Linked DNA regions of Arabidopsis thaliana. The protein of the gene in region 2 purifies or fractionates together with the protein of the main gene of each other region. This does not show direct contact. Each region holds a gene or a part of one and is shown on either strand. Other genes may lie near its edges.

Region 1 (5,523 bases), on a different chromosome or scaffold from region 2:
CGATGCTTTTTCCACTTGAACTAGTTTCATGCATCTGTCATTATTATTTCTTTATAGTACTCTATCAAGATAAGGGTATTGAAAGGTTAAATTGGACCGAACTGGTCCAAAGGGCAAAGGTCCGAAGAGATTTTGATCTGGTTCAAGTTTTAATTTAGTGTGGGATATTGTGGTCCAAGTGCAACTCGAAACAGTTCCTATTGGTTGATTTGATAATTGTAGATCATGAACAAAGAGATAAGAAAGAAAAATATCAAAAGTTTGACAAAAACATAACAAAAAATAGCAAAACAAATATTTAGAGAACTTCTAAATTCTACTACATTCGATCGATTTCATATATTTTACTGGTCCGACGTTCAAAATACATTAGAAATGTTTAGATCGTATACAAATTTAAATAGCACAAAACTTTATTAAATACGTACGTGTAGGTATAATTGGAGTTCGATGCATGTACTACACAGTAGACATTATAAGACATTTTGAAACCGTAGACGTAGACATGAATCCTCAATAGTCTTTATCGTCGCGACATACTTCAGAAAAGTCGTAAAAGATTGTTTTTTCCGACCAAGATCAAATCACCGGAAGTATACATGTATTCAAACTAAATCTCGAATAATTGTAAGTGGGAGGAGGTAAAGAATTCAAAGGTTGGGATAAAAGAATGGGTCTATTCAATGATTTTATATGGTTGATGAAAAATAAAATCCAACCTAAAAATTAAAAAATTAAGCGAACGTGGGATTGGGATAATGTTGAGGAGGAGACAACGATAAAGAACAGTGAGTGGCTACAGATTCTGCGTCGACCATTCCAGGAGACATCATCTTTTATTAGTGTTTTTTTTTTAATATCATGGGTGGTGATTTGTCTTTTTATTTTATATGTTTGTTTGAATATATTAGCAAAAATGAAATAACCTAAAATACCAAACATTAAATGCTTATGGTGACCAAGGTAAGTTGGGCCACAAAACAAATTATAAACCCAAAATTAGAATTGCAAGTCACCATCGACGCTTCCGATCCACACCACCAACGTTTCCAAACTAGAGTCATGTGGTTTCACTACGCTTCCAAAACACCTCATTTTTGGAATCACGTTTGCTTACCGGCTTTGAGACATGCTATGCGCCTCTCCTTCCGCTTCTGTTTCCGCTTCGACCTCCGCTTCTGGTTCGCGGGCGAGTAACGCATCACCTCCGTTGATATAATGCTTCCTAGACAAAAACAAACATACTTTTATTTTAGCTTTGCCAAACGCACCACAACTTTTAACATACCACAACAAATTAGGACAAGATTCTCTAAATCATCTTTCAATTCGTTTCAAACGATGAAGGAACCTTCTTAAACATAACAGAGAATTCTAATACAAGATCATGATTCTATTAAAACAACACTGTGTCTTATGATTTATTTGAACCTCACTGATAAAGTTAGAGAGAGCTAAACGAAAAACAAAAGCTACCCATCTTATTCTATTCAACTTAAGATCAAACAGAAGCAAAATCAGAATCAAACAAGAACCCACAGGAGACATAACATTCCCATCCTGATATAACCATTGATGGAGTCTAGATCTTACGGCGACGTAGTGGGGTTTCACGCTTAACATAGACCTTCTCCATTTCGTTGAGTGGTCGGCTTGATCCATCTGGAAGACTCATAAACTTCCAGCCACCTCCGGCTCCACGTTTGCCCTTAGCACCCAATTTCTCAACCGTGATTTTCCATCCCTCTGATGAACGTCTCCTGCTGTACTTGTGGCACATCACTTCTCCTCTCCACTGGTTTAGAGAGCAAAAGGTAAAGTAACGTTTGTTATCACCAAGGAGAAATGACCAAAGAACGTCTAATAACTCAGCAAGAACTCAAGCAGGAACGCTGATGTTATATATCAATCAAAAGGCGTGGATCTATTCAAACCAATAACCTTTTAAACAATCCACAAGCAAGTTGCAATACCATTATTACTTTCAATCTTTCAAGGTTATTTTACAAGTTACCAAATTTAGAATAGAGGGTTCCAAACTTGCATCTAGTCTCAAGTTTTCCTTCTAAGTTGCAAGCAGGTCACTTGATAATTAACATATGGATGGGAAAATGTCTCAATAGACCAAATGTAGTAATGGTTTACTAAGTCAATGCATACTCAAGTGGGCAAAAGAAGGGCCTTACTTTCATTTTGTTGAACTCAAACCTTCGGACAAATTCTTCGTAAAGCATGTCATCCTCTTTCTTTGAGATCTCATAATGGACTTCATCCATATCTTTGATTGTACCATCCCATCCTTCTGGCATGACCTTGAAGTCGGGTTTGTAATTAAGTGAGGCCACATGAAATTCCCGGTCATGCGAAATGAAGAACCTGTATACCAATATCAAAATGAGGGTTAAAGGAAGACGAAGCCACATAATCCGCAACCTATTCAAGTTTGCATCATGATCGTTCACTAACAATGCTAGATCCAACTACCTTAACTATTTTGGCTATAAAGAAGACTAAATAAAAGAGAGTACACACAGTTACTCCATTTCAATTCATGTAAAACTGAAGTAACATTATACCAAGGTATAGAAATACTAGTCCATGTAAAGTAACTTACTCAGGGTACTCATCAAGCAAACGGTCAACAGAATCATCCAAAGGACGACCAAGCTTCCTCTCCTCTTCTTCTTCATCTTCTTTAAGAAAAAGAATGGCGTGAACACGCTGCCTCATAATCCTATAATCCTTAGCAAGCCTCTCAATAGTATACACCTCAGGATTCTCTTTGTGCAATCTATACATCTCAGTCTTCTCAGAGTCCTTAAGATAAGACCCTCTAGCACCTGGCTCTTTAACTTGCTTCAACAACACACTGATCTCCATCATTCTCTGTTTAATCCCATCAACAAAAGCCCTGCCTTGCCTATTATCTTGCTCAATCTCTTTAAGCAAATCATCATACTCATTCATTTCATTAACCAAAGCTACCTCCTTTGGACCCAATTTGCTCATTACATCACCCGAATCAGAAGGGGTGTTATCAGAAGAAGGATTCGCCGCGTTCTTCTGACGACCAACGGAGACACCATCGAAATGCTCCTTAGTTAAACCAGTAGACCACATAGATTTATTGTCCCAATCAAGATCAGCAGATCCTGTACCACCAAATGATCCTCCTGTTGAAATATTCCAGCCGTTATCATCGCCTCCAACTCCATCAGATCCTGATTTTGCAGAAAATGCTCGATTCGTAGCAGATTGTAAGATTTTTGATGAAGCGTTCTCAAGTAGAAACCCAGATGCTCTCGTGCTAGGGTTAAGTGAAACCGAGGAGAAACGATAAATGATCCTACTAAGGTTATACATTGCTACTGATTCTTCAAATCAAACGTTGAATCGCACGAACGCTGAAACAAAATCGAAAGAGAAGATCTAGTAACTTACCCAATAAACAACTAAAACACACAGACAAAAAGTTCGAATTTTGATTACATGAAGATAAGGTAGAGCGAGTTACCCAAGGAAGATGAGAAGTCGAAGCTCCGATTAATCGGAATTAATGGCGTGAAGGGAGTCACGATAGAGACCAACGGAGGCCAGTTACGACTGCGATAAAGGAAAGGGAAGGGTTTTGAGAATTAGCGAAGAGTTTGTATTTATGTTTTAACCCCTATATTTCTTTATTTATTTTAAATATCACCTTATAGTTGTTTTGCTTTAGTTATGCTCACTTCCTTTTGTATCTTGACTTTTTATTTGTTACAATTTAAACCCAGAATCCACTGATGAGTCTGTGTATGTGGAACAGAAATTATATAGACTTTTGCAATTACGCACGATCTAGACTTGAAGCAATTTTTAAACTGATGAATGTTTTAATGACATAGACAAATAATGATGAATCACAGGTAGGATTTTATAGTACTCCTACTTTGTATTATACATCAAAAACATTTGTTTGTAGTGAATCTTATGAATGGACTTTGCAAGAATATGAACCATATCACAAAAGTCTTACTAAATTTGAATCCCAATGACCTCAACAATAAGAACATCGTTTAGTCTATGACTTCGACATGATTAAATCTAAACCGATCACAAAGAAGAATAACCCTAGAAATTAGAAAAGCACACAAAAGAAGAAAACCCTCACACAACTAAAACAACCCTCTAAAAAAAAGCACTCCTTTAAGCTCCCTTCCTTTCTACACAAGAAAACTTTCTGACTTTGATCAGAGAATTGCTCAACCACTATGAGATTGGCTCCTAGTATCGCCTGAATCATCATCATCATCACCACCATCTTCGTCTTCATGTTCTTCTTTGTGAGTAGTACCAGTGTTCATATTCCCGTATCCATGATAGGCCGGTGTGAAATTGTTCATAGTTGAATTGTCGTTTTGGAAAGAAGAAGGCATTTGAGCCATCGGTCTCACTATACCACCACCATAAGCTTGTGGTTTCTGCTCCTCTACGGTGTTCACCGAAGGAGAAGTTGAATTCACGGTTGTTATGGTAAAAGTAGGAGGTTGTTGTTGTTGCAGTTGTGGTGGTGCTTGTGGTTGTGGTGGAGCAAAAGCCTCCATAACTCTAGGTTTCTTCTTCTGATTTTGTTCTGCTTGATGCATCACAATGAAACTTCCCATTACCACCTGTCACATATTATAAGACTTTAGAGTTTTCTATACTCCTGAATCTGTAAATATGTTTCATTCATGTAATCAAATCGTGTCACCTGAACAGGACCAGCTGCTATAAGCATACCGGCAAGGCCACCACCAAATATATTGCCATTTGGTCCGGCTAAAGAAATGCTCATCCCACCAGCCCGACCTTTTGTTCCTCCATTTTCAGTAGGCATAAAGGAACCAGATAGCGATAGTATCTCAAACCGACCCTTAGAAAAGAAAAAACACATAACAGTTTTACTCGATATATATTTCAAAACGAGGTACTAACGAAATTTGATTCAATGTTTTGTTACCTCATATGTAAGAGTGCCACCTGCATTGGTAGGTTGACCAAGAGTGACATTAGAGATCGAACCAGTTGCAGAAAGAATGCAGATAGCTCGAGATCCTTGTTGCGAATACGGCATAACCTTCATTGTCACATCCTGATCAAAACAAGAAATTCTCAAACAAAGACTGATAGAATTTAATACCAAAGCTTGAGTTACAAGCACCGTGTTGAAGAAAGAAAACAAAAGAATCCTCTGTGGGAAATTTATTACCTCACCGCCATTGACAGTAAATTGATGGGTCGTAAAATTTGCACCCACATAGCATGAGAGCCCAGGAAGAGGAGGAGTAGGAGCTGCAAGAGATAGTAAAACAGAGTTTGCATTAGTCTAATCAGCTAATTAATTAATCCTAATCCTCAAGCAACTAACTCCATGATTCAAAACAAAGACCAACTAATAATCTAAATCTCTTTTTATTCACACAGTAATTAAAACAGATAATGAGAAATCGTAAGATCTGCTAAACAACTTATAATCACAACTAGACATACTTATCTTCTAAG
Region 2 (5,223 bases):
GGTGAAGAAGATGATTTTGAGAGTGGAGATAAGATGCAGTGTCTTTGGTATTTATGGGGCAAATGAATAAATATATTAAGTTCTTTGCACAAATATCTCAAACTTATTTTATTTTGTAATTTTACCTCAAACTATTTTTTAGGCTCAATATTCTGATTTCTGTTTTTTTTGTAAGAATTTTTATTTTCTTTGCAACTATTTGTTTCCACATAAATGATAGGAATTATTTTATTTTTCGCTTGTTTAGTAGTAATATACAAAAAATTTAATACATGTCGCAAATTGTTTCGTTTTGCATTTTAGTATGCTTATTGTATTTACTTTTCTAAATATTTTTTGTGATAAAGTTATGTGCTTTTCTCACTTAAATTAGTTGTGTTTGGTTGTGATTTTATTGGGACAGTCTACTAACTACTTGTCATAATATGAAGTGTGATGATAGATGAGATGAGATCTGGACCGTCGAATTTTGGATGGACAGTGGAGATGGCACGTCTCATGCTGAAGCTAAAAATCTATGAGAAGATAAGATATTTTACTAACAGCCAATGGAAGATGCAACTCTTGTTCCAAACACAAATCTTCGAAAAAAATCTTTTACGTATTTAACGTTTTCAAGAGGTTAAGAAACTAAATCAGGAACGATACAATTCCTACCAAAAAGAAAACACAGAATGATCATACAAACGCGTCCTTCAAAACAAGTTTCAAAAAAGGATTTATTTGGAGAAGATAACTGAAGTTGTTGACTTGACTTGAACCAACAATGAAAGGAGAATAACTTAAGAAAGAATCACTTTGTCAAGTTTCTATAGAGAAACATTGTTTTGTTTCTTGATTCCTTGTCCCTTCTTGATCATTCTAGAAAGAACATCAGCTTGCTTTGTGTTCCCTTCTTGGTTCAAGCTTTTGATCAGTTCATCAGAGCTCTTCCAATCTGTTGAACTTCCTTTCTCCATGATCTTACAAAGAACTGAGTACGCATTCAGAGTCTTCCCAGCTCCTAAAAGCGCATCCAACACTTTGTCGTAGCTCGAAAACTCTAAGCTGAGATCTCTCTCCAACCCGAAATCTAACAGCTTCAATGCTGCAATCGTCTTCCCTTTCTCGCTTAAGACAGATAAGAGGCTGTCCAGATCAGCTGTGTGTCCGTTTTGGTTCAGAAGATCTATACGCCCCAGGGCTTCTTCTACGTGTCCTCTCATTAAGAGGGCTTCCAAGATCTTGGCAATCAAATCCATGTTGTCTTCGATACCAACGTTTTTATCTATCATGATCATCATCACACGGCTTGCTGTCTGCACCCTACCATCCTCGAACAAACTCTCAATCACTGACCTGAAAAGCGATGAGTCTGGGACATGCCCGTCTTCGACCATGCTGTCCAGTGCGGTTTTCGCGTCTCCAGGCTCACCTTTGCTCATGTAGCTCTTGATGAGCAGCTCATATGCGTTTGATTCTCTAGGGACACCTCTCCTCGACATTATCTTCAGAATCTCGTAACTAGAGTCTGGGTTTCCTTCCTTTGCATGACCACGGATTAGATTGTTTAAGGCATCTTGGTCTTGGACACCTCTTTTCATCAGCTGCCTGAAAAGCACTTCTGCTTTTGCCGTTTGGCCATTGTTGCACAAATACTCGATTATTGGGTTGTAAGCGCTGGGCTCCATTTCCAGAGTATCCTGATGCCTCAATATGATTTCTTTCTCAATAAGCGTATCTAAAAGCTTGATAGCACGATTGTATGCACTAGCCTTGCATTGGTTCTCAATCAAAACCCCATAGTGTCCCGCCTCTGCTGGAACATTCAGTGTAGCCATGGCTTTGAGCACCTCAGTGGCTGCCGCCATATCCCCTGCTTTGCTCTGAGACACCAAAAGCTTAAGAAAGATCGAGTTATCTTTTGGAGCAATGTGTTTCGCCATCATATTCTTCAAGATATTCTTAGCCTCCACCATTTTCCCTGCATCACACAGACCAGGCAACAACGTCGAATACGTAGTAGCATTAGGCTCAATACCAGAAGATCTCATCTCCTCAAAGATTCTCAACCCATCATCAACTCGGTCCACCGCAAGATATCCTTTAATCATCGTGGTGTAACTCACAACACTAGGCCCAATCTTATTCCCTTTCATCTCCACAAACAACTTCTCTGCCTCATCCATCTTCTTAAACCGGCAGAACCCATTGATCATAGTATTAAACGTAGCATCATCCGGCGAGATCCCTCTAGTTTTCATATCTTCAAAGAACCTCAGAGCAGTCTCTAACCTCAAAGACAAAAAGAACCCCCACAGCATTAGATTATAAGTATGCCTCGTTGGCTCAACACCCTCACTAACCATCTTATTGAAATACCGTTTCGCCATCATATACCTACCACGCCTCAAAATCACCTTAAACAAACTATTATACGACTTAATCGTCCTCTCCACACCCAAATCCTTCATCTTCTGAAAGATTTTAACAGACTCTTGAACAATCCCAGCTTTTCCATAACTCTCAATAAGCACCACAAACATATCCTCATCCCAAGGAACACCCTTTTCAGGCATATCCAATAAAATACACCTAGCATGATTAAGCTTCGAAACCTCTCCAAGCATCTTAATCATTTTCATATGTGTATCTCTATCATGACGAATCAATCCAGATCTCTCCGTCCACCGGAAAAATTGAAGAGCATGCTCAAGTTTCTTAGCACCGTGCAATACATTATAGACTAAAGAATGATCCCATTCAGGTACAAGATCTCGGATTGAGTTCTGTAAACGAGTCGTCCAAGCACGATTATCCATCATTCTACATATTGTATCCTCTAGCTTTTCATGGTTTTGACGCTTACCTCGTTGGAACCTCTCTCTGAGTGGTCTCGTCTCTGTAGAAGTCAGATTCTTCTTCGTCTCGGATTTTGCATCTGGAGATTGGGTTTCTGGGTTTGCGTTTGCTGGAGTTTGGGTTTCTTCGATGGTGCTGAATAGACGAGGGAGTGAGAAGAGAGATGAGTTTGATGATCTGGGAAGCGAGAGATAAACCCTAGCTTTTGATTGGTAGCGTTTAGATCTGGAAATGAAAGCCATTACAGGAAATGGAACCTTTGTCTCTGAGTTTTTCTGAAAATTTTCAATTCGACATGGAAGGACAAAGGAAGCAAGAGTTTTTAGTGATGAGTAGGGTTTTAGTTTAGGGAAGAAATGGAGTCCTGGATCCAAATCTTGTTCCGGGTCGGGTATTTTCTGAACTTGAACCCGGCCTGTTAAGTGTTACTATCCAGCCCGGTTTCGTGCATAACAGATGGGCCTAGAATCGTATCTAGTGTTGACCAACATGTAATTTCCACACTGTTATCTATAATTTATTTGTTTTTATTAATGTTTAAAGTTCTTATGAGGAATAACAAACATGTATAAAGTAATTTGAAATGTAACCTTAAACAAATGTTGGATGGTGATAGGAGATGCCTAAGCTGACATATTTTGTGGGACTTCAAGATAGTAATCTATAGTCTTACCTTTGATCAACTATGTTATCATATCAATAGAGACAAAATTGTTTCGATAACTGGATTATGTGAATTTGATGTACATCTTTATTTGGAAATAAAAATATATATCTTCTAGCAAGGGCCACACTTATCCTTCGCTGATCTCGACTCATAAGTCATAATGATCATCAAAAATCAAGAAACAATGATCATTACTTTCGGTCTACGACTTGTCTTTTTTTCTTTCCCTACCTATATATCAAATGTGGTCGTTGTGATTGTGGTAATGGTGTTTTATGGATTTAGTTGAGTATCCGGGCATAGCAGTGTCGTTACTGTTTTTTAAATATCTATTTTTCGATTGCGATTCTTTCAACTCTTCAAGCACAACACGCTTTAAGGATCTCTTCAACAGGCGGGTCATCACCGGCTTCTTTGTCCTGAAATCCGCAAACAAATTGTTGAAAACAACAATGTGTTTGAAAAGATATATCGGTATACTAGGTTCCCAAATATGAGGCTAGTTTCACAATCAAGATTAGACGAAAGAGATTACCTTGCGTATATAAGAGATGTTATCTTTCCCAGGGCCAGCAACTAAGATTCCGCCTTGTTGCCTGCACAAGGTCCGTGACAATAGTTGTTAAGAAAAACGGAAAGTAATCTCATCGATCTCTAACCAGAAGGAATGAATGATTCATATACTCTTAAACTTACCAGCCGCCTCTTTCAACTGTATCTTTCATAAACGAGAGTTTCCAGTCTTGGCGGTATCCTTCCATGTAAGACTCTAGTATCTTCATAGCAGCCTATAATAATGCCACAGAAGCTACTGAGAGTCTGAGACCACAAAAGCAGAACATTTTGGTTACCTAATTATAATATGCTAAGTAGAAGTCACTCTACTTTGGGTGTAAATGTAACAGAAACCCCTGAAACGAACTCAAGCGCCTCGTATGATGCGTGGTTTGGATCCGCATAGACCTCTGTATTGAGAGAAAGTTGATTACAGATAATTAGATCATCTCATAAAAGGAACTACTCACCAGGCTTTTTTAGTAATCAAGAGAAAACATACCTCCTTTAAACTTAGTCTGTTCCACAAAAGTATTAGCCTGCATACATAGATGGTCATAACGTGAGAAGCAGCAGCTTAAAACTGCTTACGCTTACAAAAATTGCGTATTCAAAATGTTGTTTACCTGATCGATGCTTCCCGGTCCGATCAGAACAAGAGCAACACCAGATGCATCCATCACATCCTAAACAAAAATCTCAAAGGTATCACTCAATGACTTCAATTGTGTATAAATGGCCAATCTTTTTAAACCAAAGATCATTCTGTTACCTTCTTTTCTGCAAGATAAGCTGCTCGTTTCCGACAGAGCACACATCTGAAAACATAACAAGCAATCTTAGATAGTTACACATAGTCATAAACCAGAATCATCAAATATAATGAGAAAATTACCCAAAATGACGAGCAAATGCAACAACGGCCTTCCTATCTTTCCATAAATCAGAAATCGGAATCTCATTTCCTCTCAAATCCAAGACTTTCACTGTATCTAGCGAATCAGCTGTACCTTTCCCTATTCCAGCTCCTGTGGAGAATCAATATAATCTAGTAAGTAATCTAGAATCTCCGTATTCAATATAATATAGAAAGAGAAGACACTTAAGCTCACCGGAAGAAGCTCCGGTAATGGCCGACACGACCACGGCGCTACGCCGGA

Evidence for each region.
Region 1: the proteins of AT2G37230 (region 2) and GCD1 fractionate together in Arabidopsis thaliana (co-fractionation; one large-scale study listed by BioGRID). This does not show direct contact.

The regions. Positions count from the first base shown.
Region 1 is NC_003076.8:25,010,067-25,015,589, reverse strand, and holds GCD1 (ribosomal protein L20), read right to left. Parts: upstream 3,634-5,523; 5' UTR 3,515-3,633; intron 3,405-3,514; 5' UTR 3,364-3,404; coding exon 2,615-3,363; intron 2,377-2,614; coding exon 2,187-2,376; intron 1,796-2,186; coding exon 1,594-1,795; coding exon of another isoform or gene 1,583-1,593; exon of another isoform or gene 1,226-1,582; coding exon 1,104-1,225; 3' UTR 778-1,103; downstream 1-777. Other genes in the region: AT5G62260 (AT hook motif DNA-binding family protein), read right to left, coding at 4,242-4,649, 4,733-4,894, 4,982-5,113, 5,231-5,313. UniProt on the Arabidopsis thaliana protein: Essential for fertility (male and female gametophyte functions and development). Required for the integrity of female gametic mitochondria. Modulates male gametophyte functions, including pollen tube growth and style penetration.
Region 2 is NC_003071.7:15,636,368-15,641,590, forward strand, and holds AT2G37230 (Tetratricopeptide repeat (TPR)-like superfamily protein), read right to left. Parts: upstream 3,402-5,223; 5' UTR 3,084-3,401; coding exon 810-3,083; 3' UTR 530-809; downstream 1-529. Other genes in the region: AT2G37240 (Thioredoxin superfamily protein), read right to left, coding at 3,868-3,927, 4,044-4,104, 4,205-4,296, 4,394-4,473, 4,566-4,602, 4,690-4,749, 4,836-4,881, 4,959-5,091 and 1 more.